Caenorhabditis elegans: one gene and its partners. The protein of the gene in region 3 purifies or fractionates together with the protein of the main gene of each other region. This does not show direct contact. Each region holds a gene or a part of one and is shown on either strand. Other genes may lie near its edges.

Evidence for each region.
Region 1: the proteins of C30F12.4 (region 3) and Y39G10AR.11 purify together in Caenorhabditis elegans (affinity purification with mass spectrometry, with the first as the bait; one large-scale study listed by BioGRID). This does not show direct contact.
Region 2: the proteins of C30F12.4 (region 3) and smc-3 purify together in Caenorhabditis elegans (affinity purification with mass spectrometry, with the first as the bait; one large-scale study listed by BioGRID). This does not show direct contact.
Region 4: the proteins of C30F12.4 (region 3) and ZC15.3 purify together in Caenorhabditis elegans (affinity purification with mass spectrometry, with the first as the bait; one large-scale study listed by BioGRID). This does not show direct contact.

The regions. Positions count from the first base shown.
Region 1 is NC_003279.8:2,290,232-2,300,230, forward strand, and holds Y39G10AR.11 (TPR_MLP1_2 domain-containing protein), read left to right. Parts: upstream 1-2,895; 5' UTR 2,896-2,985; coding exon 2,986-4,980; intron 4,981-5,998; coding exon 5,999-6,370; 3' UTR 6,371-7,097; downstream 7,098-9,999. Other genes in the region: tpxl-1 (TPX2 domain-containing protein), read right to left, coding at 7,586-7,688; epg-2 (Ectopic P granules protein 2), read left to right, coding at 9,882-9,938.
Region 2 is NC_003281.10:11,287,846-11,296,134, forward strand, and holds the start of smc-3 (Structural maintenance of chromosomes protein 3), read left to right. Parts: upstream 1-3,058; 5' UTR 3,059-3,096; coding exon 3,097-3,111; intron 3,112-3,154; coding exon 3,155-3,269; intron 3,270-3,318; coding exon 3,319-3,551; intron 3,552-3,603; coding exon 3,604-3,790; intron 3,791-4,825; coding exon 4,826-5,231; intron 5,232-6,393; coding exon 6,394-6,496; intron 6,497-7,635; coding exon 7,636-7,884; intron 7,885-8,289. Other genes in the region: mib-1 (RING-type domain-containing protein), read right to left, coding at 1-151, 345-468, 514-620, 684-906, 967-1,229, 1,647-1,991, 2,385-2,480, 2,568-2,720. UniProt on the Caenorhabditis elegans protein: Involved in chromosome cohesion during cell cycle and in DNA repair. Involved in the repair of double strand breaks during mitosis and meiosis. Required for chromosome segregation during mitosis. Central component of cohesin complex.
Region 3 is NC_003279.8:6,970,068-6,977,367, reverse strand, and holds C30F12.4 (LITAF domain-containing protein), read left to right. Parts: upstream 1-3,671; 5' UTR 3,672-3,698; coding exon 3,699-3,726; intron 3,727-3,776; coding exon 3,777-3,888; intron 3,889-3,935; coding exon 3,936-4,246; intron 4,247-4,552; coding exon 4,553-4,677; intron 4,678-4,832; coding exon 4,833-4,997; 3' UTR 4,998-5,211; downstream 5,212-7,300. Other genes in the region: idhg-2 (Isocitrate dehydrogenase [NAD] subunit, mitochondrial), read right to left, coding at 410-478, 529-939, 999-1,130, 1,183-1,275, 1,355-1,483, 1,630-1,731, 2,329-2,436, 2,529-2,606; C30F12.3 (Conserved plasma membrane protein), read left to right, coding at 5,570-5,630, 5,943-6,055, 6,115-6,213, 6,262-6,378, 6,426-6,564, 6,610-6,706, 6,753-6,921; C30F12.2 (ATPase N2B), read left to right, coding at 7,228-7,300.
Region 4 is NC_003283.11:20,299,665-20,306,816, forward strand, and holds ZC15.3 (CCHC-type domain-containing protein), read left to right. Parts: upstream 1-3,923; 5' UTR 3,924-3,955; coding exon 3,956-4,184; intron 4,185-4,238; coding exon 4,239-4,681; intron 4,682-4,736; coding exon 4,737-5,033; intron 5,034-5,080; coding exon 5,081-5,143; 3' UTR 5,144-5,244; downstream 5,245-7,152. Other genes in the region: ZC15.1 (C2H2-type domain-containing protein), read left to right, coding at 6,439-7,152.

The DNA of each region.
Region 1 (9,999 bases), 4.7 Mb from region 3:
CGGCCCATTTTTGACAAGTTTTTTTCGGCAAATTCGGTAACTTGCCGGAAATTTTCTATTCTGGCAATTTGCCGATTTGCCGGAAACTTTTAGAGGGATTTTTTTATAAGACGGAAACACCATTTGCTGAAAATTTTTGGCAACCACCGTTTTTTCCGGCAAATTCTGCATGTGCCGGAAATTTTCACTTTTCATTCTCGGCAAAATTCGTCCAATTGCCGGTTTGCCGGAAATTTTCTGTTTCGGCAAATTGCCGATTTTCCGGAACATTTTAGTGGGATTTTTTCATAAGACGGAAACACAATTTGCCGTTGATTTTTGGTAATTGCCGTCTTTTCGGCAAGTTTTGCAATTGCCGGAAATTTTTCATTCCGGCAATTTGGGAAATTGCCGGAAATTTGCCGATCAAAATTGAAATTTCTAGAAGGGAATGTGCAAAACCACACTTTGCCGAAAATTTTTGGCAATTGCCGTTTACCGGTTTGCCGGAAATTTTCCATTCCGGCAATTTGCCGATTTGGCAGAAATTTTAATTTTCGGCAAATTGCCGGCTTGCCGGAAATTTCAAATTCGACAATTTGCCGGAAATATTCAATTCCAGCAAAATGCCGACTTTCCTGAAATTTCAAATCCGGCAATTTGCCGACGTGCCGGAAATTTCAAATTCGGCAGTTTGCCGGTTTGCCGGAAATTTTCAATTACGGAAATTTGCCGACTTGCCGGAAAAACGTTTGCCTCTTTCCCAGAATTGCCGATTTTTGCTCAAAAACCTGCCAAAGGTCCAAAATTTGTTGAATCTACAGCAAACATACTTCAAATAATCGAAAACTTCGCGATTCTGAGCGTTATGAGCCAACTTTCACTGTGCAATGAATAGGAACGACTACTTGCAAAGAATGGGTTCAAAGTACACACTTTCGAAAAAATGCGTCTACCACCCCTTAGCAACCGCGCTCCATTGGACGTTCATGGAGAGACGAGACAAGTCAGCAGACCCCCCAAGCACACAACACGACAAAAATACAAAAGAGACGCAGACGCGGCACCCAAGCTTTTGCTTGTTGTTTCGCATTTTTCTCTGTTTTCTCGTGATGATGTTGTTTTGGAAGCTGGTTTTTTTGTTCAGTGTGATCTCTCGTCACATAAGAAACCAAGTTTTTTTCTTTCATTTCAAAATGAAATTGAAATTAGAAAAATTTGAATTTTCCAATTTATTCCAACAAAAAGAGTACTTGAACTTTTTGATAGATAAGATTAAATGCACATTATAACATATCGTATGTATAATTTTCCATTCATTGTCTTCGTTTATCAGTTCAATTTTTGCCGGTTTTTCACATTTGACATGTGCTGTTCACGTGAAAAGATGAGATGCAACGCCTATGGAATTTGATTACATCAGCCAATAGAGATTGCCGCTTGGCAAGGATATTTTCCGGCAAATTTGGCAATTTGCCGGTTTGCCGGAATTTTTCAGTTCTGACAATTTGCCGATATTTTGCCGGAAATTTCAATTCCGGCAATTTTCCGATTTGCCGGAATTTGTCATTTTCGGCAAATTGTCGATTTGCCAGAAATTTCAATTCCGGCAAATTGTCGGTTAGCTGATTCGGAATTTTTCATTTTCGGTAAATTGCCGATTTTTTGCCAGAAATTCCGATTCCGGCAATTTGTCGGTTTGCTCCGATTCCGACAAATCATTGTCGGAATTTTTCAATTCCGTCAATTTGCCGATTTTTGTCTGAAATTTTCAATTTGTCAATTCTGGAAGCTTGCCAATTTGCCGGAATTTGTCATTTTTGGCAAATTGCCGATTTGCCAGAAATTTCTATTCCGGCAATTTGCCGATTTGCCGGAATTTGTCATTTTCGGCAAACTGCCGATTTGCCAGAAATTTCTATTCCGGCAATTTGCCAATTTGCCGGAATTTGTCATTTTTGGCAAATTGCCGATTTGACAGAAATTTCTATTCCGACAATTTGCCGGAAATTTCAATTCCTCCAATCTGCCGATTTTTTGCCAGAAATTTCAATTCCGGCAATTTGCCGGTTTGCCGATTTGTCGGAATTTTTCAATTCCGGCAATGTGCCGATTTGCCAGAAATTGTAATTCCGGCATTTTGCCGGTTTGTCGATTTGTCGGAATTTTTCAATTCTGGCATTTTGCCAATTTGCCGGAACTTTTCAATTCCGGCGATTTGCCGCTTACCCCTGAGAAAATCTTGGCCATTCTTCAGCAATTTTTGCCGATTTTTCGAGTAACGAAAACTCTATGGGGGCTCCGGCATTTTGCCTATTTACCGGAAATTTTCAATTCCGGCAATTGGATTCCACCCAGACAGCTCCACAACAGGAAAACCTTTCGGCAAACGTTGGAAAAAAAAACTATTCATTGAAGTAGTTGGATTATCAAAAAGTTGAATAATCGTACTTCAAAAGCCCTCAGACTTCGGCCAAACTGTAGTTGTTTCCCAAACTATTACAGTTTTCCAATTTCCAATTTCCCGTTCAATTGTTATCTCTTCCCGGTTTCCTGCTCACTTTTCCAACAATTCTACAGATTCCATCTCGGTCCCCCGGACGATAGAAATCTATAGTATTTTCCGACGAGTGTTCTCCAATCTATAGTGTGCACAGCAGAGAACGTTCGAAGGGTGTAGCGAGAGAATAGAGAGAATAAAGAGACGGAAAGAGACCAGGACACCTTCCGTGGACCCCCGCCACACTTCTCTATCGATTTCTATTTGGGTGTCTGCGTATTCGTGTGCGTACGCACGTGACTCTTATGCTTCTTCTTGCCCCTTACTTGCCTATTTCTCTTTTCTTCTCAACTTTTTTTTTCTTTTTTCCTTTTTTCCTTTTTCCCAAGCTTCCATCATTTACGAACTTCCCCTATTTCAGGTAGAAAACTCAACGCTTCACACTCTTTACACTGCCCCGTCTCCTTGGCAGTTGAAGAGCATCATCCTATCCGCAGATCTCCAAAATGTCTCAGCAGCAGGAACTTCCCACCTATCAGCAGACTAGCAGCTCACTTGAGCGTCGAGTGACCGAGCTTCAGGATGAGAATAAGAGTCTTCGACTGACGTTGGCTCTTCGCACTGACTGTGAGCACGAGCTAGAACGAGTTCGCAATGAGACGCATCCGGGAGTTGAGGAGCTCGAGAAGAAGCTCGCCAGTGCTGAGAACGAGATTCGAGTCATGGAATCTACGAATAAGGAATTGATGGCGACGTTGGCTACAACTCGTGATCAGCTCGGGAAGATGCTTCGCGAACGGAATCAGTTGGTGAAGGACGTCGATGAGTTGCACGAGGAAATTGAGAAAATGGAGAGCCTCTACAATAAGCCGGCCGACTACGCCTCAAACAGTTATACCGACAACATGAAGTTGATGCTTGACGAGCTGAACGATCAGTGTCGTAAGTGGGAAACTGAGAAGGCCAAGTTGACCGAGCACTTCAAAGAGGCTGAAACTCAGCTCAGAAGAGAGAATGTTAAGCTAGAGGCTCAGAAGGAGGATATCTTGAACCATACGAAGAACTCTGAGAAGATGTGGAACGAACGTCTTGAGAACATCACCGCCGACTTTGAACGACTCAAATCTTCATCGAAACCAAGTGGAATTCGTGCCGACCAGAAAATGTTCCAGGAGAATGAGATGAAGATTCAGGAATTGAACAGAAAACTCAAAGATGCTCTTGAAGCTATTGAGGAAATTGAAGACGCCAATTCGGCTCTCCGCGTTGATCTCGAAAGAAGAGGAGTCGAGAAGTGCAAGATGGAAGAAGAGCTCAACTTCCACAAGGGCTTCTTGATCGCCGAGCAACAGAGCTTTCTCTTAGACTGTGCCAACTTCGAGAACCAAATTGCCAACCTCAATAAGGAGATGACAGAGCTGGAGGAGCTCCGTGACGCCTACAAGCAACAGATCGGCGAAATCACCGAGAAACACGCCCAGCAAACGATGACATTCTCGAATGAGAAGGCCAAGTTCTGTCATGCCATGGAGCGCGTCGAGGAGAAATGGAATGCTGAATGTGTCAAACTTCGTGATGAAATTGGTGGATTGCAGAAAATGTTGTTCCAATCAACCAAGGAAACGATGGACAAGCGGGAGATTTTCGACGAGGAATCTCGTGAATGTCGCCGCAAAATCGACGAGCTCGAGGGCCTGTTGGCAACGCAACAAGCAGCGGCGCAACGACAGATTACTCGACTCCTGGCCGAGATTGATGATCTCAATGTCCAATTGAGTGATACCAAATCAGTCCAGGCGAACGCAGTGAAGGAGTGGGATGTCGAGTGTGCTGAGCTGGAAGAGGAGATCTACGAGTTGATCGGCAAACGGAAGACTGAAGGAAAAAAGTTGAGAACCATGCAGAGAAAGAATACCTGGCTTACCGCGTCGATTAGACGGCTCTCCGAGCAACGCCGTGAAGAGCTTGCTGCCAAGAAAGATGAGATTTTAAAGCTTAATAGTCTCTGTGAGCTTCAACGTATGGAAAAAGTCGAGTGGCTCAGTGACTTGAAGAAGGATGTGAATGCATGGAAGAATGAAACTTCCGTCCGAATCGAATTGAAACAGAAGATCACAGATCTTGAGGAGCAAAACGAAGGTCTCGAGGAGAAGGTCGAGAACGTGCTTGCCCAGTACAGAAGCGAGTGCGAACTGTACCAGAACAGTGTATCAAGCCTTCAAATGGATCGTGACAGGCTCAGAAAAGATGTTGATTTGTACAAAGGAAAGGCCGAGATACTGTTCACAAAGTTCGGAGATCTCGTCAAAACCAACGACGAATTGGAGAAGAAGGCGCATCAGAAGATGCTGGAGGCAGACAACTTGCGGAAGACAGTCGAGTTCTCGAACATGGAAATGACAAATGTGAAAGCGCTCATGGCGATGGAGCGGGAGCAAATCCTCGAAGAACGACACTCAACGGTTAGAGATCTTGAGGAGAAGCTCAAAAATTTGACAATGGTAAGTGCTTTTTTTTTTGCTTTTTGAACACACACACACGTGGTGCCAAGCTGTCCCATTACGGATTGATCTACAAAAAATGTGGGAATTGTTTCCCAAAAAAAAGTGACGTCAGCACGTTCTTAACCATGTGTCAGTTGAGAAGTCTGCGTCTCAACTCCCGCATTTTTTGTAGATCTACGTAGATCAAACCGAAATGGGACACTCTGACAGCGTGGTTTGATCTTCGAGAAATGCGGGAGAAGAGACGCAGACTTTTCAACTGATTTCGCATGGCTCACGCTCTCGTTAAAGCCGAATAATTATTAGAGCGCGCTTCGCATTTCTGCATCCGCGGTATTTTGACTTTCCACTGAAAAAAGCAGATATTTCAGATTTATCGAATTTTTATCTTTAAAAATTTTTTTCTGCATTTTTCGAACAAACCTTTTGTTAAACAGTTAAAATCGAATTTAAAATGACTAAAATGAACTTTTTTCGTCCACTGGTTGTGAAATGGTTTGAATTTGAAGAAATCAACGGGATTTTTCTTATTTTCTAAATATTTTTCTATTAAAAATCGGTTTTAATACATTTGTGACTTAACATTAGGGTCAAAAAATGGTTTAAAACCGATTTTTAATAGAAATATATTTAGAAAATAAGAAAAATCCCGTTGATTTCTTCAAATTCAAACCATTTCACAACCAGTGGACGAAAAAAGTTCAAAAGTATCATTTTAAATTCGATTTTCACTGTTTAACAAAAGGTTTGTTCGTAAAATGCAGAAAAAAAAATTTTAAAAGCTAAAAATTCGATAAATCTGAAATATCTGCTTTTTTCAGTGGAAAGTCAAAATGCCACGGATGCAGAAACGCCAAGCGCAGCAAGCGCGCTCTAATAATTATTCGGCCTTGAGGAGAGCGTGTGGCTAAGTGTTTGATGACGTCACATTTTACTGGGAGAAAAATTCCCGCATTTTTTGTAGATCAAACCGCAACGATTGCTTCAAAATCTCTAATTTTCTTCTCTCTTCCAGACCTCATCTATCAACAAAAATCTTCTCGCCGAGGCACGTCGTTCGATCGCCCGGCTCACCGAAGATGCCAAAGAACAATCCGAGGCTCAAGAGTTCGATCGTCTACGCTGGAACGATCAGGTAGATCAACTGAAGGAAGTCAACGAGGAGCTCAAGAAGAATCTGGGCGTCGAGGTGTTGGAATCATCCGATGATTCGGATTGTTCCAGTGACTCCTCGAGTGATTCGGACTGCTCATCGGATTCTTCTGATTCTGAAGAAGATGAAGAGTACCGTGATATGCCAAAACTGAAAGACGAGACAACCGCCGAGAACTCGTGGGAGCTGGTTGGAGAGGAGGAGGAAGAAGCAGAGCAGCAGCAGAATAACTGATAAAATGTAAATAAATGCACAAATTGAATGTAATTACAAATGTGTGTACCAGAGGTGGGCGGATATTTTTTCGGATATTTTCTAATAATGAATTTATCAATAAGTATTGATGTAGTTATTCTGGAAGAAATGTATCCAAACCAAAGAGTAACTATTAAGCAACATTTTAATATGATAAAACCTAGAAAAATTCAACAAGTTTTCCTTACCGAGACCTTAAAACTTATTAGCCGAGCAACATCGGATTTTACGGATATCGGATAATGGACTTGCATATCGTTTATACAGAAAATTTGTAGAATTTTTCTAGGTTTTATCATATTAAAATGTTGCTTAATAGTTACTCTTTTGTTCGGATACATTTCTTCCACAATAACTACATCAATACTTATTGATAAATTCATTATTAGAAAATATCCGAAAAAAATATCCGCCCACCTCTGGTGTGTACCAACTTCTATAGTCGTACTGATCGCAAATTAGTTTTTTATTGTTTCAAAAACATGTACAATTGTACAATTTCCCCCTTTTATTCCCCCCCCCAATCAAAAAATTTCATTTCCTTCTTATTTTTTTGTTTTGTGAATTTTAAAAAATTCAAAAATTTGTAGTCCCCCTCCAAAAACCCCTCTGATTCTCACCGCCGAATATTTTTCCTAATTTCTTTTCGCTTTTTTTTTCTCTTTTTTCCCTAAAATTTCAAGATAAACGATGATTTCAATTCAAATAACAAACTTGGCTCAGAAGAAACCTTTCGCAAAATTCAGACAAAAAGAGGGAAATCTACAAGAAATGTTCATTGCGGGCGGGCGGGCGGGCGGGCGGGTGGAGGAGACACAACAATAAGGATGTGAATTTCACTGGATTGAATGATAAAGAAAAGGTATAATAATAATAAGAATAAATCTGTGTGTGTGTGTGTGGGCTTCCGGTTTTTTTTGTAAACATGTGTGTGTGGGGGCCGGTCTATTATACAGAATTAGTCAGAAATAATGAACACTAGTAGATCAGTGCGCGCGCGCGAAAAGGTGAACGGGAAAAGATAGCTCAACAAAAACTATGGATATGAAGAAGAGAAAAAATACGGTATAAGGGGGTGGGATGAGACAAAAAAATCAATGAGAATCATCATAAATATTTTTTTTAAAATTAATTTTCGCGGTGAAGATGAAGCTGGTCCCATTGGAATACGACAACGATCATATGTACATTCGTTTACTGCTTCGATTGTGGAGTAGAAGCTGCTGCTGGTGGCTTCTGAGTCGAACGATCCTTTGATGGAGCACGAATTCCGTGAAGACCTCCGGCAGATGGCATTCTGGAAAATTTTTAATTAGTAATTAGTAAATTTGAAAAAAGAATTGTTTAGAATATTTTGGTATTTTTTTTCCAAATTTTTTACAATTAGCATTGCCAATCTTAAAAGTTCAAAAATGTATGCTTTTTATTCGAAATTATTTTTTGTACCAGATCAGGGGTGGGTGGCAATTGGTTTGTCGTCAAATTAGGCAATTTGCCGGTTTGTCGAAAAAATCTTTTCACAACTCTAGGTTTTCATGTAGGCACAAAATGCCTACTAGGTGCCAATCGAATGCCAATCGAAAAATTGCCGGAATGAAAATTTCTGGAAAATCGGCACATTGCCGTCATATCGACAACTTGCCGAAAACGAAAATTTTCGGGAAATCGGCGAACCGGAAATTTGTCGGAATTGTGTTTTCGTTTTCGATTTTCAGAAAAATAGCATTTTTTGCAAAAATGGCTCAAGTTTTAGCCATTTTTTTTTAGAAAAGATGTTGTTTTCTGATATTTTTCTTCCGTCATTAGTAACAAAACTTGATGAAAAATTGAATTTTATCATTACATCTCTATAGATTTTTAAAAAACTTTCTATGAAAAAAATCGAAGAATCTTATCTACTCCAGCCAGTCATTTTAGACTATATTTTTATCATTTTAAGACAACAAAAATAATTTTACAATTCTAGGTTTTCATGTAGTCAGATAAATGTTTCATCGCCTATCGATAGGCATCTTCGAGGCATATTATGCCTGCCTTGTAGGCACCTAATTTTGCCCTACAAAACTACTGATTACATTCCTTATTAGCTCGAAATCCTATAACTTTTCCTAACTTCCCACTTTTAAGGGTGGTGTAGTCGAATTTTTTTTATTGCTTTATCAGGCTCATAATTGTCTGAAAACACCGAATTTCATAATGAAACTTCTTGAAAACTTTTCAGAAAAAAGTTATGACGGCTCAAAAAATGGCCTAAAATTAGTTAAAATCGGAAATTTGACCAACTTATCAATGTCGCAGCAGCTGGAAACAATTTTTTTTTGAAATCACCGCCAAATTTTGAGTATACAAGTTAATTATCTTACGTTTTAAACTTGATTAAGGTATTAAAAAATCTTTGATTTTTAATTTTTTTAACCAAAACTCGCCGTCCATCGATTTTTAAATACTCGTTTAAAACGCGAGGTAATCGACTTGTATACTCAAAATTTGGCGGTAATATCAAAAAAAATTATTTCCAGCCACTGCGACATTGACAAGTCGGTCAAATTTCCGATTTTAACTAATTTTAGGCCATTTTTAGAGCCGTCATAACTTTTTTCTGAAAAGTTTTCAAGAAGTTTCATTGTGAAACTCGGTGTTTTGAGAGAATATCGAGTCTAATAAGACAATAAAAAAATTCGACTACACCACCTTTAAAATTTGAATTTCTGTAATGTAATGCTCTAAATCTTCCAGATTGTCATATATATCCATTGTTTTCTCGACATCAAAGACCACCAAAAAGTCATTCAATACTATTTCCACTTCACCTGTTCACCCCTTCCCCAATCTTAACATCATCTTCTGACCCTTAACGTGACCCCGACTTTCCCAAATCTCCCTCTTCTGCTCACACAACGCTATTTCCAGAGAGCAAACACAGAGCAGCCCCGCCCTAGTGGCGCATCTAACCAAACGCGCAGTCCTCCACAACTATCCACATTGTAACCTTGGCCTGTACATTACATCAGTCGGACCATTCTCTCTCTCTCGCTTTTTACCGTGGCCCATCTCTCGGTGGCTAGACGCTGCCAATATGCAGAGAGCAAGAGAGCGCAGAGCATTATGCAGAGGCTGTCTCTTTTGCTCTCGTCGAGCTATCCAAACCGTTGCCATTTCTCCCTCTTTCACTCCCCGAGACCACCCATATCTCTCGTCTCTCTCTCTCTCTCTCTTTTTCACTCTCTTTCATATTATTCATTCCTCTCTTCTCGGGTTCTTCATTCAATTCTCAGTCATTAGCTACTACCACACAATGCCTAACAACTGAATTATATATTCTACCTGATCGCCGTTTTCCTCTCACAGCCTCGCAAGCTTTCTTTCTCCTTCTTCGAATATTTTTTATGGTGACCTTGTCATTCGTCTCACTATTAATTTTTGTGTGTGTAACACATCTCTCAATAATCGATATTTTTTGCAGATCTCAATTTCAACAGCTTTCAAAAGAATGAGTGCCAACAGAACTGTCACAGTTTTTTCATCGTCAGCAGAGGATCAAGAGCCGGTAAGTATTTGAGCTGTTCTAGATTCTGTTGAGACACAAAAAATCCATTTTCACACGTGGT
Region 2 (8,289 bases), on a different chromosome or scaffold from region 3:
CGATAATATTCGATGGAGCGCCGGCTTTAACGAGAGCCTGAATTGCTGCAAGCCGATTACAGTCTTTTTCCGCTTCTCCTGTCCATTTTTCGAGGGCGTAGTGGAGTACTCCGCGACCGAACTTGTCACGACGGTGGACTTCTAGGCCAAGCTGAAGAAAATAATTAAAAAAAGTTGTCGGAAAATTCAAATTTCTGGAAAAAAAATTTTGGCGAAAAATTAAAATTTTTCGAGAAAAATTTTGATCTTAAATTCATTATTTTCGGCAAAAAAATCCTAAAAACTAACGTGGCCGAGTTTTGCATAAACCTCGGCCACCAACACTACTAATTTTTTTCACCTACCGAAATAAGTTTATTGACAACATTCGCATGGCCAGAGGCAGCGGCAAAATGCAATGCGCTCATTCCAGTTTTCGAGGTGGTATTACGGTAGGAGGCACGCAACAGGAGAAGCTGCTCGACGGTGCTGAAAATGTTGGAGGGGGTGGTGCACTTCTAATAGAGGTTTTACCTGACATGACCACTCATAATTGCAATTTGGATGGGTGTCATATTGCTATTGTTCACGTGATGAATGTTCGCACGAGTATTTGTCAGAATTCTACTTATTGCCGCTTTCTGAAATTGTTTTAGCGATTATCGATTTTCTGGTCAGTTTTCGGAAAAATCAATAACACAAACCTTATTCGAAGACTCTGGCAGCCGGCACACCTCATGCAAAAGTGTGTCGCCAAAATTGTTCGGAACACACGGAATACAAGTACTCGTACCGAGAAGCCGATCGATACAAGCTGCGTGGGCGTGACGGGCGGCCAAATGAAGCGGTGTTAGACCGTTGGCCGCTTGTGAATTGATGTCTTTTGGGAGAAGAAGCATTACAGTATCCAGCATTTTGTCAAGACCTCTGCAAGAATTATTGATTTTTTTAATTTTTTTTTAAATCGATTTTTTTACGATTTCCCACCTCTCCGCAGCCACATGAATGATAGTTCGATTCTCGGAATCTCTGGCGGTTCTATCTGCACCCAACGCGACAAGCATCACAACAACATTCCGTAGATCATCGGCGACAGCACGGAAAAGTGGCAGTTGACCGTCGAAAAGGGTCCGAACTTGTTGCGGATCCGATCGGATCGATTCGACGAGAAGCGCATAGCTCAGCGCGTCTTCACCCCAATTCGCGATCACTTGCATTAAGGTGTCCGGGGTGTAGCCGTGGATTGTGTGCTGAAAAAATCGATTTATCTTTCAGGTAGGCATGTAGGTAGGTAGGCAGATAGGCAGGTAGGCATGTAGGCATGTAAGCTGACCTATGGACCAGCAGGCAAATATGTAGACAGACAGGCTTTATGCAGACGCATTTTCAGGCAAACATGTAGGAAGGCAGGAAAAAAACAAGCAGGTAGTCGCGGAGGCAGGCGTGTAGGCAAGTAGGCATGTAGGTATGTAGGTTTGTAAGCTTACCTATGAACAATCAGGCAAATATGTAGACAGACAAGCTTTATGCGGACGCATTTTCAGGCATTTTCAGCATCAGACAACAATTTGACAGGCTATTGCGATAGTAGGCAACTAGGTAGGCACATAATCAGATAAGCGTGTAGGCAGGCAGTTTTGGAGGCAGACATGCCTGAAGTTACCTACCTTATAAGTATGAACCGACGGCTCATTATTATCTCTAGCAATCATTGACAATCGGGGACCCGAATAAACCGGACACAAAAAGATATCCCGTCTCTCATCAGTCCATCCCGTATTCGCATTAACCGCCACCTGAATCTCCCGGGTAATCGTCGGATTCGAGGCGCTTTTCAGTTGAACCAAATGCTTCGGAATTCCACCTAAATTCAATGGTTCCTTCGTTGCCACTATTCCGATTGTCGTTTTTTCCGGATCTCCGCGGGTTATTGCAACGAGATCACCTTTTGAATGATCTATACATTGAGGGAATTCCAACGCGTCCAGCGGCCATTCGGTAGAGAGCTTGAACTGAAAATTTAAATTTAAATTTGGGATGAAAAATTCGGAAAAAGGCTCTTTTTTCAGTGTTACCTCTGAAAGCTTGAAATCAAAAAAATTCAGGAAAAGTTTTAAGTATCTTCAATGAAGATTTCAGTTTCTGTACCGTTATCAACCAATTTTCATTTAAAAATTCGATATTGAAAATCAAAAATTACAGTAGCCTTTTAAAGACGCACGCCACTTTCGCAATACTTCTCCTGGCGCGATCAGTAAAAATGTGTGCGCCTTTAAACGATTACGGTAGTATCCAAGCAATTTAAACTTTTTTTTTCCGATTTTCAATGGAAAAAAGTACAAAAAAGATCGCTAGATTCCGAAAAATCACACATTTTACACAAAATCTTCAAAAAATCAGCTTACAAGCTCTGGATTTTGCGGAACTGCGTAGTAAACCCGAACATTTGCAGTGTGCCGGTGCTCGTTGATGCTCTCGATATAGCCAATGTGACCGAGAAGCTGAAAATGTTGAAGATTTGCCTGTTTTGAAGAGATTCTCAGCAAAAAATTTCAGATTTCAGCATTTTTTTCTTTTCTGCCACTCACAGCCAAATGTGTCTTCGTCCACGCAACATTATTGTACGAATTGAGGCGTTGTGCATGATTTGGATGATTTTCCGATATCAGAATTCGATCGCCCGGTGTGAAATACGTCAGGTACTCGTCGTAGCTCGGCGATTCGCCAGCTACTCCGTTCATTTTTGTGAGAAATAATTGAAATAAATAATTTTTTGTTATTCTGCTTTAGTTTTTTGTTTTAGACACGTTTTTCCGTGGTTTTCTAGTATTTTTCCGAGAATAACACGTTTTTATTTGGAAAAACCCTCATTTTTCGAAATATCCTTGTCCGAGAGGAGTACACACCGGGTGGCCGAGTGGGGATTTCTAGTCCCGGGTCGCGCCCGCGAATTCTTCGCTTTGAATTTGAAATTTATTTTTGCTGATTTTCAGTGTTTTTTGCGATTTCCATCGATTTTCCTCATTCAAAAAGTTTTTTTTGACTTAAATTCTGCGATTTTCTCATCTATATTATCGATGTTTCAGTCAACATCCCATCACTTGATGCAATAAACCGATGAAGATCAAAGAAGTGAGTTTTCCCAAGTTTTTCATCGATTTTTCCCTATTTTCAGGTGAGAATCACCGGCTTTCGAAGCTACAAAGACAACACCAATGTGTCGGGCTTCAGTCCACGCTCGAACGTCGTCGTCGGACGAAATGGATCGGGAAAATCCAATTTTTTCCATGGTTAGCCGCATGAATTTCTGCGGAAAAGCTGAAAAATGTCAATTTTCAGCGATTCAATTCGTTCTTTCCGATGAATATGCTCATTTGAAAGAAGAACAACGTCTTGGTCTGCTTCACGAGAGTACCGGACCGAAAGTCGCCCACGCTCGTGTCGAAATCACCTTTGACAACTCGGAAAAGCGTCTAATGGCGTTTGAAAATTCAGAAGTGAAGATTGTTCGTCAAGTTGGAAAGAAAAAGGATCAATATTACATTGATAATAAAATGGTGCCACGTGCCGAGGTATTCCAGCTGTGGAAAACCTCGAGATTTATCGATTTTTCCTCAATTTCAGGTGGTAAATCTCATGGAATCCGCCGGATTTTCTCGCTCAAACCCGTATTACATCGTTAAACAGGGAAAAATCAACGAGTTGGCCACTTCGCCGGACGCTTATAAGCTAAAGCTACTGAGAGAAGTCGCCGGAACACGAGTTTACGATGAAAGAAAGGAAGAAAGTCTGAAAATCCTGAAGGAAACCAGTGCGTACCTGAAAAATAATTGTTTTTTCGGTGAAAACGTTAGAAAAATGATTTTTTTTTGCTGAAAAATGACTGGAAAATCATCAAATTTTCATGGTTTTTGGTGTTAAGTATGCAAAAATTGCACATTTTCAGCAAAACTCTGGTTTTCTTTTGCAAAGTCGCGCAAAAATGACTGGAAATTGTCCAAAAACTCCGAAAGTCAGCATATTTCGACTATTTTCAAAAAAAACTCTCAAAAATTAGTGCATTTTTATTCAAAAAAGTGGAAATTCACCTTTATATATTGATTTTCTATCTGAAAAATGACTGCAAATTGTCAAAAAGCTACGAAAATCACCAAATTTTGACTATTTTCAACAAAAATCGCTTGTTTTTCTGGAAAATGTCAGAATTTATTGAAATTTTCATTCAAAAAAGCTTGAAGTTTACCGATTTTACTGGATTTTTGAAGATTTTTGAAGACAAAAAGTGCTCAAAATCTGGTATTTCGACCGAAAAATTTATCTGGTAAAATATTCAAAAAGCTCAGAAATTTCAAAAAAATTTAGCTAAAAAAACTAAAAAAAAAAAGCTTTTTAAGAGTTTTAAGAAATTTTTCGAAGAAAATAGTTCGAAGAAAATAGGTACGTGAAATTTTATCGATTTTTCTCAAATTTTACAAGAAAAAATATTTGAAAAATCAGAAAGTTAACATTTTTGAAGAAAAAATGCTCAAATCTTGAAATTTTATCGATTTTTCTGCAATTTTACAAAAAAAAATTCAAAAAATCGAAAATTCACCCTTTTTTTTTTGAAGAAAAACAATTATCAAAACCTGAAATTTAATTGATTTTTCTCAAATTTTTCAAAAAAAATGTTTCAAAAATCTGAAATTAACCTTTTTTGAACAAAACAGTGCACAAAATCGGGAATTTTATTGATTTTTCTGCAATTTTACATAAAAAAATGTTTTTAAAAAATCACAAATTTACCCTTTTTTTTGAAGAAAAATTCTCAAATCTTGAAATTTTATCGATTTTTCCTGAATTTCAGAGATGAAAACGGAAAAAATCCAAGGCCTTCTGAAATACATTGACGAACGACTCCAAACTCTTGAAAACGAGAAAGAAGATTTGAAAGAATATCAGAAATTGGATAAAACGAAGCGAAGTGTTGAATATACAATGTATGATAATACAAATAAAGAAGCGATAAAAGAGAAAACAAAGCTTGATGAACAGAAAGTTGAACTGAATCAAAAGGATAATAATGTGAAAAGTCAGTTGAATGATGTTATTGCTGAAATGGCAAAGCTTAAAACTGATAAGAAGAAGCTGGAATCACTTGGAAGAGGACTTCGTGAGGATAAAGAGACACTTCAGGCTGAGGAAACTAAAATGGTTGAGGAGAAAATGACGTTGAAGCTTGAAATTGACTCGTTGAATGAGGAGAATACAAGGTTTTTTTGAGAGAAAATCACTGGCAAAAAAATGCGTATATTTTAATGAAATTGCCACTGCAACTTTTTCCTCACGAGGGACGAGGAAAAGTGGTTTCTAGGCCATGGCCGAGGGGCCGACAAATTTCAGCGGCCATTTATCTTGCTTTGTTTTCCGCGTGTTTTCTTTTGTTTTGCACCAATTTTTCCCGTTTTTTCTTAATAAAACTGATAAATAATAATTTTTTACAGATGCTAAAACAATTTCCAAGTAAAAAAATCATGTATTCAGTGGGCAAGCAGCGGTGAAAGTGGGCATTGTCATATGATGGATTACGGGAATACAAATCCTAAACTTTTTCTGAAACATGATACATATGATGCTTAAATGCTGAGACTACCTGATTTTCATAACGAGACCGCTGAAAAAGTTTTGAGGTTTCCAAAATTCAACTTTTTTGGTGAAAAAGTAGAGATTTTCGTACAAAAAGTTGAATTTTGAAAACCTCAAAACTTTTTCAGCGGTCTCGTTATGAAAATCAGGTAGTTTCAGCATTTAAGCAGCATATGTATCATGTTTCAGAAAAAGTTTAGGTTTTGTATTCCCGTAATCCATCATATTACAATGCCCACTTTCACCGCTGCTTGCCCACTGAATACATAATTTTTTCACTTGGAAATTGTTTTAGCATCTGCAAAAAATATTTATTTATCAGTTTTAATAAGAAAAAACGGGAAAAAGCTGTGAAAAACAAAAGAAAACAGGCGGAAAACAAAGCAAGATAAATGGCCGCTGAAACTTGTCGGCCCCTCGGCCATGGCCTAGAAACCACTTGTCCTCGTCCCTCGTGAGGAAAAAGTTGCAGTGGAAATGTGAATGTTTTACTGAAATTGCTACTTTTAATCTAGTAAATTCCTGGAAAAATTCATTAAAATCTTGGAAAAGCCTGGAAAATGTGCTTATTTTGCTGAAATTATCAATACAAATTTAAAGAAAAAATTCCAATTTTTCATTATCATTGATTTAAAGCTCAATTTACCAGTTTATCAGACATTCACCTAAAAATCCATTAAAAACCAATTTTAGAGTTTCAGCGTTTTTTGTTTTCGCGGAAAATTTTGAGCTAAAAAAATTACCAAAATTGACCGATTTTTAAACAAAAAATATATAAGTTATTTTCAGAGAACGCCAGGGACGTCAAAACGCGGAACACTCGCTTCAAGGTGTCGGTGATGAGATTTTCAAGAACGAGGAGGAGCTCGATACGATTAAGCCTGAATATGCTGTAAGAGTTTCCAGCCTTCTCAATCTATTTTAAAAAATTGGAATTTTTTTAAGCATAAATTGACTTTTGTTTTTTTTTTTGAAATTCGCAGTAGAAATTAAAAAAATGGGGAAAAAACCAATTTCTGGCAAATTTTCGAGCTTTTCGGGGTTTTGAAAATATTCTGTAAAGATTTCAGCAAACATTGCTTTTCAGCTCATTGTTTTCAGTTTTTTTCAGTGAAAATTTAGTCTTTTAGCGGTTTTTTTTTCTAGAATTTTACGACTTAAAGGCTTAAGATAAACTCGATTGACAGAAATCGGTAGGAGTTATTCAAAAAAAAAATCACTAATTTCGGGATTTTACACATATTTTGATCTCAAAGAATTTGATATTTTCCAGAAAAATGTCATTTTTGCAATTGTTCGCTGCAAATTTCCCGAAAACTCGATTCTAACAATATTTGAAATCCAAAATTCCATAAAATCTCAAATTATTGTGACTCGTGTGAGCTAAAAGCGATTGCGATCGGCTCTCGGAATACGTTATTTTCCACGAAATAAACTGGAAAAAACGAATTTTTGAGCTTTTCAATTGCCAATAGCTCACATTAGTCACCGGAGATGCGGAAGCTATGCCCAAATTTTCAATTTTAACTGGAAAATTCAAGTTTTCCCGTTTTTCTCTGATTTCTAGATTAAAAATGGAAGAAAATTGTTATTTTTGCTTCGAAATCTAGAAAAATTGAGATATTCCCAGTTTTAATCGAAAAATTCTGATTTTACACATATTTTAGTCTCAATAAATTTGCAAATTCCCAGAAACTAATAAATTTTGCAATGTTTCGCTGAATCTTTTCCGAGAAAAAATTCCATATTTTGCTAGTTTTTAATTAAAAAATCTAATTTAAAATGGTGAAAATTTTATGTATTTTTAGAATTTTTAGTTTGAAATGCTCTAAAAAATCGAATGTTGTGACTTGTGTGAGTTAAAAGCGATTGTTCGGCTTGAAATCCGTTATTTTCCACGAAATAAACTGGAAAATATCGGATTTCTGTGCCTTTCAATTGCCAATAGCTCACATTAGTCACCGGAGATGCGGAAGCTATGCCCAAATTTTCATTTTGAAACAAAAACTTTAACCCAAATCCAATTTACAGAAGCTTCTGGAAGAGGAATCCCGTCTGAAAACCGACATCAGAATTGACGAATCCCGTGCAAAAGAGATTCTCGCAAAACAGGGCCAACGCAGTCAATTCTCGTCGGTCGATGATCGTGATAAGTTCCTTCGTAACGAGATTCGTCGTATTTCTGGATTAATTGCTGATAATAAGGAAAGAGAAGAGACGATTCAAAAAGAATTGGCAGATGTTGAACGAGAAGACGAGAAGCTGAATAATGAGATACAGGTGAGAGAAAAGCGGCTGAAATTTTGGCTGAAAATTTGACTTATTTAACTGAAATTTACTTAAAAATGTAAAATTTTGATAATTTTCGGCCTAAAAATATCGAATAATCGCCGTTCATCAGCCAAAAATTAGCTAAAACACTCAGAAAATGAATTTTCTAGTGCTGAAATTTAAAATTCCGCATTCTTTTTCACCAATTTTCAGCGATTTTCATCTAAATTCGCTGAAAATTTGAAAATTTCAACCGTTTCTGGCCTAAAATTGAGCTAAAACTCGCGAAATTTTCATATTTTAAGCCAAAAAATTACTTCAAAAAATCCTAAAAATCCCCCCTAAAAGCCTAAAATTCGGAAATTTTTGAATTTCATTCGGAAAAAAAAACTCCTTGAAATTCTGGATTTTTTT
Region 3 (7,300 bases):
TGAATGGTCAACACTACAGGCTCTTTCTCTGGGTTCATAAGCTTCAGAAAACAATTGTTACAATGAGAAATGATGTGGTGTACTGTCCAAGGAGAATAAAGATCAGATACAAAAATTTTCAAAATTTAATCTACGTTTCAAATTTTGGTTCATTTCTCTGTTTGAATTTCCTTTGCCCTGTCTGATTGGTCATGGGGCTCTAATTTTTGGATGAAATATGAACAGGGGATATTCTAAAATTGAAAATTCGTGTTTTTCAGAATTGCGTTTTTCATTAAGTTTTATAAACCCACAAATCAATTTCAATATTTTTATTTATTTACAAAAGTATAGTTGAAAAACATAAAAACCTGACACGAAATATTAAAATCCAGAAAATTAAAATTATATCAAAGCACGAGAAATTTCATCAATGTTTTGGGTTCTCGTCCATCAAAACTTTGATGTTCTGAAGAGTTGCGTTGATAACATCACTGGCCTGTAACAATGGTTTAGGTTTTTTTTTGGAAACTATTTAATTTTACTTACCGAATTATTTCCTCCAATATCAGCAGTGTGAATTCTTTGTTCAACAAGAGCCTTCCACAATGCATCGGAAATAATATTAGCGTGATAATGGCATCCCAAATATCTCAACATATCAACAGATGCTCGAATGAACGCAGTTGGATTGGCAATATCTTTTCCAGCAAGAGAAGTTCCAGTATTACGAGTTCCTGTTTCAAAAACAGCATATTTATCTCCAAGATTCATTCCAGACACTAATCCAGGTCCACCGACAAGGCCACATGCAATGTTCGAAATGATATTTCCATAAAGATTTGGCATAACCATTACATCGAACTGTTGAGGTTTAGAGACAAGTTGCATTGAGGCATTATCCACAATCATTGCTTCAAATTTGATATCCTTATAATCTTCTGACATGTCCCGAACAACCTGAAATATCATTTAATATTCATTATTTTAGGCCTTAAATTGAAACGTTAAAAACACACCTTTAGGAAAAGTCCATCTCCAAGTTTCTGAATATTAGCTTTATGAACAGCTGTAACCTTCTTTCTTCCATTTGCTTTTGCATATTCAAATGCCATTCTTGAGATTCTCTCAATTTTCTCACGGGTGACGATCTCAAAGTATTTATTTAACTGAAAATACAGGAAAGTAGGAATTTGAACTCACTTTAATGCTTTCTACGATTCCTGGAACTGCTTCATGTTCTAATCCAGAGTATTCTCCTTCCGTATTTTCACGTATAAGAACAATATCAATTCCCTTAAAAATAAGAAGTTTTAACAATTGAATACAATTTTTTTAAACTCTCCAACTGAAACAAATTGGTAAGTTTACTTACAGAATGTCTGGTAGGTACTGTTGGAATTGTGACACAGTGAAGAATATTGGCATAGAGATCCAATTTAGTTCTGAGTTCAACGTTACGAGAGTTGAATTGTGGATCGTCGTGTTTTGTTTCAATGTTTCCCTGAAATTATTTTATATACATTAGTTGTAATATTTATATTTTGACATTAAACTAATGCAAATTTTTAATTCAATTCAAAAAAACAGAGGTACTTTTTTTTACAATTGAACAAGCAGGTATTTCACTAATTTTATTTAATTCATTACCTTTATAGCAACACCATTTCTTTCAATTGCCAGCATAGCAGCATCCATGTCTCCATCCAAAAGCGACGATGAGACTTGCACTTCTTCAAAGTTGACTGGAGCCTAAAATTAACATCTGTCTCTTTTTTTTGCTTCACCTTATCCATTTTGGTAGTTCTCAACATGTGAAAAAGGATTACGATTAACTTGTATTCTACCAACTTTTTAAAAAAATCAAAAAGAGTCGAGATACGAGCAATCAAAGTTGAGCAATAAAATCCAAAACTAATAGAAGAAAAACGATACTAAAAAAGCTTATGAGCAGTGAAGAATATTGAAATTAAATATTGTGTGTTTTAAACCCAAACACGGTTACGGTATATTGTAAATCCAGTTTAACGTGACTTTAAAATGATAACTTGAATATGGTTTTTAGAACTTTCACATTCTTGAAGAAGCAAGCTTAAATTCAAATGTGGGTACTTGTGTATGATACCCCCGCCATTAAACATTAATTTTTTACCTTATAAAATAAAAATGTGTGGAATTTTAGGCTTAGGAAAACAGCACTCCGAAGCCTAATAAGGAAAATGGGTATCACGTTTAATTTAAACAAATAAATTAATGGAAATTTGATTAATTTTTACAATGGCGGGGGTATAATACACAAGTACCCAAATGTGCATAGTAGACTTTATATTTTCAAGCATGGGAACCTACATGACAAAACGAGAAAATATTTCTGATATGGGCAATCATCTCGGGGCCAATTCCATCTCCAGGAAGGGCACAAACTGTATGTCGACCACCATATTTTGCTAGTGGGAGCTGAAAAAGTGATTATATTATGGTTTTTGGAAGAATTGCATTTTGCTACATTTTATTTTATAATTTTAATTTTCTGATAAGATAACTCTTACTCTGTGACCTGGAATTTGATGGGTACGGATTGCAGAGGCAGCTCCACGAACCGCTTGAATCGGAAGTTTTGAGAACATTCTTAAATTTTTGTTCTTTAGTTATAAAAGCTTCGTTATTGATTCATTGTCAGTTAGGAATTCGATTAGGAAGTTAAGAAGAACTTAAAATATCTCAAATTCGTAAATTTTTTTGCTAGAGACTGTCTAGTATTTCAAAATTTGAGACAATATGTATGTAGCTATAGAATATTTAATTTGAGAAAAAAGGTATCGATTAAATGTAGCATGGGATTCTCCAATGCTCAGGGTCCCGGGAACAAAAAGACGGGCGTTTTCATGAACATCTGCGTCTCTACATCTCTCTTATCTCTAACGTGGTAAACAACTTGGCAGGCACACACACATTTGTTCGGCTTATCAAGAAAGAAAAGAAAAGTTTGGCAGAGAAAATTGAAAAAGATAGGGAAGTGCGGCTCAATTCAGGTGCAAGAACACCCTGACACGTGTTGAATGTGGTCAAAATTTCAGAGTTTTGACTGAAAATTGATGAGACATAAATGGGGAGTTGTAATAAAAAATATTAGACGAATTGAAAGTTTTGTCACTAGTGGAAAAAAAACGATATGACTTCAGTGTGTGAGAAGATAGAAATTTCTTTATTTGGAAACGAAGAGTTTTAAATCATACTCCGGTGCGGGAAATGTTTCGCTAGGTGCTAAATTTTTCGGGATTAATCCTAGTTTTCTCTGGCCACTTCAAAATTTGAAACTTCATAGACTTAATTTTCTACATGAAATGAATTCTCCTGTATAACTTGGCACCTGTAATGACAACAATTACTGAGATCGTGGCGAGACCCACTCGAAACATTGGCAGTGCCTTTAAACTGACATGTCAAAACTTCGCGAAATCACGATATTTCTATACTTCCGATTTTATTTTAAAAAACTTATACAGTTCTTCTCAAGTTTTAAGATTGCTTGACACTTTTAAACTTTTTTTTAAATAAAAATAATATTATTGGAAATGTTCGTTTGCAATTTTTATAGTGAACTACGGTATGCAATCAAAGTACGCAAACACATCGACGCACTTCTCACAGACTGAGATTCGAGGAATTATTTTTTTTTATTTTCTCATCTGTTTTCAATCGGAAAATCGTTGCTCAAGATGACAATTAATCCGACTGATTACGTCTGTAAGTTATTTTATAAAATAATCTAAAAATTTTAAACACCTAATTTTCAGATGAAGAGCCCCCACTCACGCCTGATGGAAGAGTTCAATTTTTGGGGCCCGAAACTGTCAAGTACATTTCTCCACGAAGAGTGGAGGTTATGCGGCAACATATCAGACCAGAGTGAGTTGAAGAAAGAAAATTCATTGGAATAAATTCACAATTTACAGGATTTCTCAATATTCTCAACAACAACCGCCACCATATTATTCATCTCAAGTCTATCCATCAGTTCCATCTGCTCCACCAATTCAACCACAGCCTCAAATGGTTCCAGTTTCAATGCCAATGGTTCAACAGCAGTACATGATGCCCCAAATGGCTCAAATGATGCCTCAGCAAATTGTTATGCAGCAACCGATCATGACAACTGCAGGACCACAGATGATGATGACTCAGATGGCTCAAATGGCCAATCCAGTGCAGCTTGTCTCACCTCAACCGCCTGTCCAAGCCCCACCGCAACAGCAGGCGTCGCCAGGTATATTCGATAAGTAATATTAAAAATTATAAAAAAATTATACAAGATATATATATATGTTTCGGCGAAACTTCATTTTTATAAAATACTCGATACTCCTTGTTTTTTATTGAAATCCAGTCTCAGACATCGAGAAAAAAAGCGCTCGAACACAAAATTAGAACTCAAAAAACCGGATGTCCAATTTGTGAGACCTAGTCTAGACAAATTTATTTTTATTCATAATTTCAAGTTGCCATTCACCTTTTTTTAATCATCAAAAAGTAGAAATTTCCACTTCTTCTTTTATTTATCTTAAAATTTCAGCTATAACTCTGTGCGTTAACCAGTCTCCACAAATTGGTGGATCTCCCGGAGGAGGTGTGGGTGCACTCGTCTGTCCGAAATGTCGAAAAGGAATCATCATGCGAAAACAAGATCGATTGAGAAAGGTTAGTCATTTTTGCTGATTATTTTTAAAGTGCAACGAGATGATTTTGATAGTCAGAAACGAAAATATTATAAATAGCTGATTTACATGATAACTTCGAAGGTCGAAACTATCACACTTTAAAAATTTTATTTTTAAAGTTTTAATAATTTTTAGAAGATTTTGATGTGCCTTGCCGTGTGCTGCTGTCCTCTGACATGTTGTCTCCCACTCATTTGCATTTGTTGCAACTACGTTGACGCTTGTGGAGCCTGTGGCAAAAAATATGGGCACCGTGGAAGGAAGAACGCAAAAACCAAAGTGAATGCAGTTAAATTGTGAATTTGAAACATGTCTTGTTTGAAAATAGTATATATTTTTCTTTATTATGGCACCAATTTCCCACTACTAACTCCTATGTAAAACTTTAATTCACTTTTCAGTTAACATTATTGCATTTTTTATACTTTGTTCTATTGTTTGCCAAATTCACCATATCAATTGTTGTTGAAAATCTCAAAACATCTGTCAGAATTAGATGAAAAATGTCATCATCGTCTTCATTTTCACACATCCTATTCCCTTTCCAGTTTGACTCGTCTACTGATTGGGCTAATCATTTCATGAGCTCGCGCTTGTGAGCTCAGCTTCATCTCATTTGCCCCTTTTCATATGAATTCTCTCCTTAACCTGAAAAATGAGCGCATCTTTTTTCCAGATTTTTCAGCGTGACGAGTGATTTTTAGAGATCAGAACTCTTTTTAAATTGTTCTTTCTTGAATTATTTTTCCTTGTTCGCAATTATCATGGGTTTGATATTAATTTCAGGGTACAACAAAAAGAATGGATAAGTATACTCAATAGATTTATTTCGATAAATTTGAATTCGAAGTTATCTCTGAGAAAAGTACAAAATGCGTTCTATAAGGAAATGGAGTGGTTCTAGACACAATCGGCAATCGTTGCAATCAGAAGGTATAAATTGAAATTCAGGTGTCCAAATTTCGACCGCTCGTATTGCATAGACATCTAGGGATGATAGTGTTCTCCAATTTTAAGCGGAATGGTCTCGCCGCGCAGCCAACAAATTACTGGAACTCGTGTCATATTGTTTTAATTGAATTTTAATATCAATTTATAAAAAGTCTGAAGAACATCAACAAACCGTAAATCGACACGAGTTACAGTAGTTCGCTGTCTGCGTGGCGAGACCTTTCCGCGTAAAATATAGCTAAAATATTCGTCTTTAGACGACAACGGAATATGATTTTATTCTAATAATTTCAGCTACAACATGCATAATCAGTGAATGTGAGTACGATGAGGAACAACGAGGCGACCGAATTTTTAATCCGAATCATGAGAAATACCTGTGTTGTTGTGGTCATGCACATTCTTTGGTGAGTAATGTAGAGTGAAATTATTTGTTATTTTAATGATTCAAAAATAAATAATTCAGACCGGAATGAAAATTGTAGCAGGAATGTTGTGTGTTACCGTAGTTTTCGAACTTTGGCATCTCATTGTATCCATCTTAGCATCGGAATTGGTCGAAAGAGTAAGAAATTAATAATTTTTAAATAATAACTGGATCAATAACTTTCAGGCGGATGTAACTGGAGCAGCTATTCGATTTTTCGCTGGTGTCTTCATTGCAGGTACAGTACTCTGGGCGATTTTCGCGCAAAGAGCAGAATTTCTTGTGCCGTATCTTCTGTTACAGGTGAATTCGAAAAACTGATATTTGGCTATAAAACATAATAATTTCAGGGTGCTGGGCTTGCCATCGGCCTTATCTTTTTCGTTTCATTCATGTATATCGGTCTTTTTGGAGACAAAAAAGTTGGCACAACAGTCCTTGGATCATACGGTATTCCAGTAAATCCACGTGATGAGACAGCGTATTTCAGTTAGTTTTTATGTTTATTTTTCAGATTTAATTCATCATTTTCAGATTATGCTGCCTGGTTGATGGCTGGATCATTCGCGATTGTCATAGTCCTTCAAATTTGGATGATGATGATTGTTGTCGCGTGTTGGAGATTTTTCAGGTAGGCACAGGTGCTGGTATCTAGTAATTATTTTCAACAACTTTAGAGACAAACGTAATAACGAGAAGATTTATAAGGAAGTGGTGACGGTGAAGAAGATTCAATTGCTAACCCGAATGAGAATATCCCTTTCCGCGGAAGCTCTTGGTTCCGAATCATCACATACAAAAAACTGGGTCAAGAACCGCTCTTTTTCTGCGTCTCTCGATGTTTAACGCGTTTTCCTTATTTTATTTATCTTCAAATTCTCCATGTACACATCCATGCACACTTGTTGAATAAAAAATTGGAAAAATCGTTCTCTGAAATAAATTACATTCGAAATACGCGCCGTTTTGAAAATTGAAAGTTCGCTCTATTGATACACTCTAGTGACTTGATGTGCAGAGAAAACGGTCGGTTCTCCACAATTTTGATCGTTCTTCGAAGTTTTTTATTAAAAAATTGCCCAGTCCGTTGTGATAATATCTTATCAGTGATTTTTGAACCAAGAATTTATTCGAAAATCTTTTACAGCTGAAATGCTCTCCCCAATTCGCTCAAAATTACAATATCTGCAAGTTCAACGGTTTTTAGTCACATTAAGCGATGCGT
Region 4 (7,152 bases), on a different chromosome or scaffold from region 3:
TACAAACCACAATTAGTGTAATACATTTTGAACAATTCAGATACATAGTGTTGTGACTTGGGCTCCGGAGAGCCGGCGCATCCCAACTTTGCGGATGTATAGTTAATTAATTGGTCAGAATCACCCACGATCCCACAATTAACATCCGCCGCCGAATACTCACAATGTCTTCCGTATTCTTCCGAAAACATTCGCTCTAATAATCATTTAATAAACAATTATTATTTGAATTACCGCCACGCAATGCAGGCGCGCTCCACGGACAACAACGGAGTGTCGTAGCGCGCTCTCTTTAGCCATTGCTCACATTAATTATTGGCCTAAATTTGATGATGCAATTATCGTCACTCTCCTCCGATTCTCCCATCGTGTGATGCCGTACTCCTTCTAATTAATTATTATTCGACTCCTGGCTGCTCTGCAGCACATTCTCTACGTTTTTCCTGATCAATAAACAGGTTTTTATTCGTACTAATTGTTCTGTTATATTCACACCGCTCATCCCTCCTCTCGTTCCGTCCGTCGTCTTTCTTGTCACTCCGAGGTTCTGGCTACCTCTCGGATTGGAGTGTCAACATGGTGCATCGAACCGAGTCGGATTGGATCCGATGAACGAACCAAAAAGCCAGCTCGTGACACGGCGGGACCTGAGGAAGCGGCAAGCCAGTCGGAGGAAGAGGACAGGAGCCTAAGCGTGCAATTACCGCTTGGAAGACGCGCCAGACGCGTGGAGTCAATTCAGGAAACCCTAAGCGGGGCGAATACCGCTTAGAAGACATGCTAGCCGTGTAAGGAAATCCTAAGCGGGGCAAATACCGCTTAGAAGACATGCTAGCCGTGTAAGGAAATCCCAAGCGTGGCGCAAAACGCTTGGAAGACATGCCAGACGTGTAAAATCTACCACTGAACCCAACTTCATCTACGACGTAATCGGCTGCCCAGAAGATCCAGGAATTCGTGCCCAACAGCTCAATTTATGAAGAAATCCCCGCAGCTCACTCAACACTCAACTGATGGTCGATAAGTTGCCCAATTGCAGCAAGGATTCAGGAATGCGCACCTAGCCGCAGAAAGTGAGTATTTCTTTATAAAAATCTTCGAAGAGCAGTGGCACGGCAGTGGAGCCGATGGATATTCGTCGAAAAAATTTCTTCTGTGAAGAATAAGCGATTCGCAGTTTTGGAAAGCCTAGGACAGCGATTCTCTGCCTGGAAGACATGCTAGACGTGTAATCGGATTCCCAAACGGGCAACTACCGTTTGGTTGCCATGCTCAGCCGTGTTGAATCAGGAATGTCCATTCTCGAATTTTTTTGTGTCATTTGCAATAATGGCACAGAAGAGGAGAGAAAAGTGACGCAAAGAGCTAATCTCGCAGCTCTCAGGAAGCCCAAGTGCTCAATACGAACTTGGAAGCCACGCCACGCGTGAGGGGAGGTCGGCAAATCTACATGGCTCCCGGAAACTCCAATCATCAAACCACTTGCCACTGAACCATCTACCGCCAAAGGATCTCGGCTGTCCCGGAGAATCAATCAAAATCGATTCAAATCACCTCTAGGATCGGAAAGCTTGGATATCGCCGCAAGGAGGAATTATTTCTTGTTTTCTATATGATTTTTAATTCTAATAAACCACTTTGGCCTTCTAACTCCGTTCCGGGAAGTAAAAATCTCACCGGACGGATTCTTCTCTCCATCGTTCGTTTTGTTTGTTTGTTTGTTCGCCAGGAAGTTGACTCAAGCTCTACGTTAGCTTGAACGCCACGCGCAGCGTGATGTAGGACCCAAGTGGACGAATAAAGACTTGGACGCCACGCCCAGCGTGATGAAGAAGCATTTCGAAACGATTGGAGCCGCGCCATGTCGCGGGATATAAATTCGATAGGAAGAAGCTGAGCCTTGCTCGCCAGGAGCCGCAACCAAGTTCCCCCCGGAAGGACCCCCCCCCCGGAAGGAGCCGGCGGGAAGTGATATATCGCCGTCTATTATTGGGAAATTAATCTGCAATCTGGAAATCCCTCTCCAGCCCGATCTGACTGTCATAGGAACCACTACTTCCTCAGGACAGAGCCGAGCAATCGCTGCCCTCACGGCTTCTGGTCAATCGATAAAAGGCCAGTGGGAACTGCCAAAAAATCGGCTTCCCCCCGGAAGAATTACCCCGGAAATCTACTCTGCAAATTCGGAAATCTCCATCCGCCTCCAAATCAAGGAAAATCGCAATTTAAATTGCCGCCAATTGAATTTCTGGCTGACTACGGTAGACAATTGCGACCACGGCACACGATCTGCCGCACAATCACGGACTTTCTACTTTCGAATCCCAAAATTAATTTTGGATGTTTTATGGATTTTTTTCTGGATTTTCACGCATTTCTTCGCTCCACTCGTTCATTTATTACACTTTTGTGACGTCCTATCCACAATAAGTCTGCAATTTTCCAGGATCGAGCACACTCACGCTTGGACATGCCAAACAAGAGCACCGACGACGATAATCCTCCGCTGCCCTGCAGCTGCCCAGCTTCTAGAAGCTCAGGAGATGACAGAGCTCCAACACCAGCGTCAATCATCTCGCTACAGCGTCAGGCATTAGCGGCGGTCCTGGACGCCAGACTACGAATGAGTGCAGAACAAGCTGACGACGAGCAAAGACAAAACGCTGATCGACGCGCTCAGGATCAAAGGGAGAGCTTCCGACGTCTCCGCGAAGAAGCATCAAGCTTCGCCGACTTCTTCACCAACGCGAGATTGCCAGCCATGAGGACCTTTTCGCCAGGTTAATATCGAGAGTATAAAGAAATGACTAACAATTTTTATTGTTTTAGAGGCTGCCCGCAGCTCCTCCAACTCTTCCGGCAGGAATCCACGCATGGATCAGGATTTCGAACTGGCAATGGAACTGGCTTGTGAAGAAATGTCGGCGACACACGCGAGAGCCCAGCCGCCCATCAACTATGAAGCCAGCAATTCCCCAGAGCAACCATCCAGCGAAAGCGACGAAGAAGAAAGCGTATCCAGCGCAGGTATGACAGTTCATAGAAAACTCTCATAAAAATCCAATTCGATTGTAGGAAGTGGTTCCATCACCCCCACGGCCGCCCTCGCAAACGTTGTGGCTCCACTGGAAGCAACTGTGGCCCGCATCGGAACCCAGATCACCGCGATTGGCAATCGAGTCGACGAGCTCTTCGAGCAACAAGCCCACATCTCTCGCCAGCTCAATCTCATCCTAGAGAGCGGCCCACGTCCCTTCAAGCGGATTATCATCAATCTATAGGCTCAATTCAAGGAAAGCGATTCCCAACCGAAGCAAATCGCCGCGTTTGTAACCATCCACTATCAGCATTCGGAAATGGCTGCCCTCTTCAAGAAGACCGAAGGAAACACGTTCCATAAAGAGGGAAACGTCGTCGAGCAAGCTCCATATATCGCAGGAGCGGTGACGGCCAAACGCAAGGAAATCGCAAGAGCTGCCCACGCTCTCCAAGGACCAGTGGCTCAGATCACTGCATCAGTGGATCAACACTTCATCAGAGTTGGCGCGGAGCCCGAGATGCCAAGACCAATATGGACGTCGACAAGATTGACCGCATCCAGTCTCCGATACTCCGTCAACACCACCACGGAATTCAGACGAAAATTGGTCGAACTGCTGAGAACCGACAGCTTCCGAGACACCCAATGGATCACCATTCTTCCCATATACCCTCCGGATAAAGAGGCTGCCCACGACGAAGCAGAAGCCGTCGAAGACGTGGGAGAAGCATCCGATTAAATCTAATTAATTGTTGATTGGTCTTGTTGGCGCGGCTGACCACCCGCATTATAAATGTTCTGTTTTGACTGATTCATGCCATTTACGTTATTGGAAACCGGTTGCAATTACCGTGATAATATCTACTCTCGCTCAATCATAATCGCTCTAACATTCCTTCATTCAGAACTGCCATCATGCCCCGCGAAGAAAGTGAATCTCCACTATTGGTCTACGAAGATCCGAGACATACGCCGTACACGCCGTTCAAGTATGCCAGAAAGGACGAGGAAGAGAGAAGCTCCGGAGGAGGAAAATCGCCGCCCAAGAAAGCCCCAAAAGCCCAGGATCGCATGTCACTCCGCGACAAATTTGAGGCTGCCCCCACCACCAAGAAACGCAAGACGGCTCAAGACCCAGCCGATGGTGAGGAGAAAAAACTAATTATGCAGGCTAAAATTGATAAACCCTCCGTTTCAGAGCTCTTACAAGCCATCAAGCCACTCTTCAACCAAGTCAAAAAGGAAATGGCCGATCAACTGGCTGATCAGCTCGGGAGATTCAACGAGCAACTCGACATGGCGGTCAACTCCTTCAGCGACGAGATAGTGAAGCTGAAGGCGGATCACGCCTTGGCCGAAAAGAATGTGGATACTTATGCCCAAAAGGTCTCAGGAATGTTCCAGCGCGCGGACATGATGTCTGCCAACGTCCAGGAGCAGCGAACTCAACAAGCCGAGGACAATCGTATGGCCTCCAAAGCGAGAGACAGGATCATTTACGACATCGCTCAGGTCGCCACCAACATGAAGACGATGAGCGAAACCATCGCCAAAATCGACGCTCGTGAGGAACAGGCTGCCCAAAAGCAAGCCGAGCGCCACACCCCACAAGGAGGACAGGGATCGTTGGAGCCAGCGCTGGTGAGACTTATATTTTCTCCTATGTCAGGGTAGAATATGCTCATGAATATTACAGAAGTGCCCACTGTGCAAGCGTCATCACGCTCCGGAAAACTGCACCATTATAAGAAATGGACTCGATCGTCGCGAGGAAGCCGAAAAGATCAAAATGTGCATTCAATGCCTCGAAGTCGGCGTGACAAATGACGATTGGGTCCACGAAGGCTGCCCAAAGGAGAAGGAGCAGTGCACCAGATGCACCAAATACATGAAGCCAGGAGAAATCGCCCAGACTCACCACAACGCCACATTCTGCCTAATGCTCACCTCGAAGCAGTACAAGCTCGAGCGCAAGGGATCCCCATCCGATCGTGTAAGCGTATCCTCACGACACAACGAAACAGAACAGTAACATTTCAGGATTACTCGCCAAAAGGCCGCAGAGGACCAATTCGTTCCCGCCACAACCGCTATGGAGGCTGAGGACGCCGCAGAGACAGCTACCATTAAGCTTCTGCATACTCGCTGCCCCCTCCTCATTATCATTCCCGTTGTTGGATTAAACCCGTTGTTATTGTGGCCAAGCCACTTACCATTGTTACTGTTGTTATTGTTCTTTTGGCTGCCCATTCATGGGATCTTATCTAAATAAAGCCTCATCGTCGAACTTCTTCAATTATCACCTCATTTATCCGTTCAAGAGTCACTCACTCACGAGATATTTTCAAAACATAGAGAAAGGGATCCACTCGGAAAAATTAATCCAGCTCAAAACCCCCACGGATAGGAGATAGAGACGCAGATACCTCTAAGCCGGCGCTAATCACCACCGCCCGCTCTACAACTGCACTAATACCTGCAACTTTCGGAAAAGAAGCGCTAACTCCGCGAAGCACATTTATTCGCAGCGCCTAAGGACCTGACAGCCCATACCCTTTAGGTCAGAGCTTCAAGCAACGGGGTCGAAACTCGCAGCCCCAACCTGATCAAAGAGCCCCATTCACAACTCGGAGATCAGGACACCAACCATCTCATTAACTCACAGTTAATGTCAGCGTGTCGTACAATCCCCCAATGACATCGCTCTATTGCTCCGAATCAGGACAGACGCAAACGCCCCTATCCACAGCGTTGCGATAGCTCATGGATTTTATACGCGTGGAAATATTGGAGAAGCGGATGGATTAGACCTCCAACACATTGAGGATAGCGGTGAAAGGGATTAGCTACCCCCACGTTAAACAGGAAGAATGTAGTACCGGTTATGGTAAATAAGAGCGCTTCAAGGATGCTCATTGGTGGCAGCATGCCCATCCCCTGATCTACAATTTCCCTTATCAGGACAGTCCCTAATCGACGGGTGAAGGATTATTCGAATACCATAATAGGAACGGGAAGTCATTCTAAATGTTTTTGCAATAACGTCGACATTGCACATCGCAGAGATTGAGGCGCGCCTAGCTCTAGCCCCTCCTTTACGCCCTATACGCGCTATAATTCCACGACGCTACTGAAGAAGAAGAAGAGATATACAGTTTCACGTTCGCGTGCCCTACATTTATCAACTTAGGCGAAACCCATACACGTGGCGCCATCTCACACGCAACCTAACCACGTGGCGGCACAATACACCGCAGGAATAGAGAATCACAATTCAGTTTGAATTTTTGAAACCGCGCAACTACCCGTTTCACTCTCAACAATCTACAGTGAGTATCAATGTTCTCGACAACTTTCGAAGTGCTAAGTAATCCTGTAATTGATGTATAATCTTACAGATGTTCCGTGCAAACGCAGCACTCAACAATAACCCACCTGGAGCGGCCTATCCACCGAAGGGTCCTAGGAAGAACTACGAAGGCCCAGCACATTGTACACTGGCTGCCCTCCTCAAAAGATCCGTCCCGCTGACCGACGAGGACATCATCGTATTCGCCGATCGTGAAGGAAACTGGCCCCTGGAATATGTCCCCGCAGACCCACTAGCAAAAGGAGGACTGCGTGCCTACGTCTGGAACGAAAGTAGACCGGACCCTCAAACCCATCTGGAAGAATCATTAACCCGCTGCCCCGAACTCGGCAAATGTAAGGATTTGGAAGTTTATTTCCTGAAAAACGCTCGTGCCCAAAACGTTCCGCGCAAAGATCCGTCGCTGCCCAGTGGCAGATGCAACCTGTGTGGAAGTCACTACTTTGGATTTGACATGAATGACCACAAAGTCAGAGGATGCCCGTTCAACAAGCTCAGCCCTGCTCAGAGACTTCGCTTCCAGGCTATCAATAACCTGGCGTACTGCCAACACTGCCACTCCAGAAGCCCAGATCACACCAAGTCACGTCATTGCTCACCGAGGAAATGTGAGAACTGTGGAGACTTCGGCCATCAAATGGAGCAAGCGATATGTGAAGAAAATATCGGAATCGATTCAACCTACTGGCAAGAGCAACAAGAACGTTACGTCAAAACCTCGAGAATAAAATCTATCGAACGC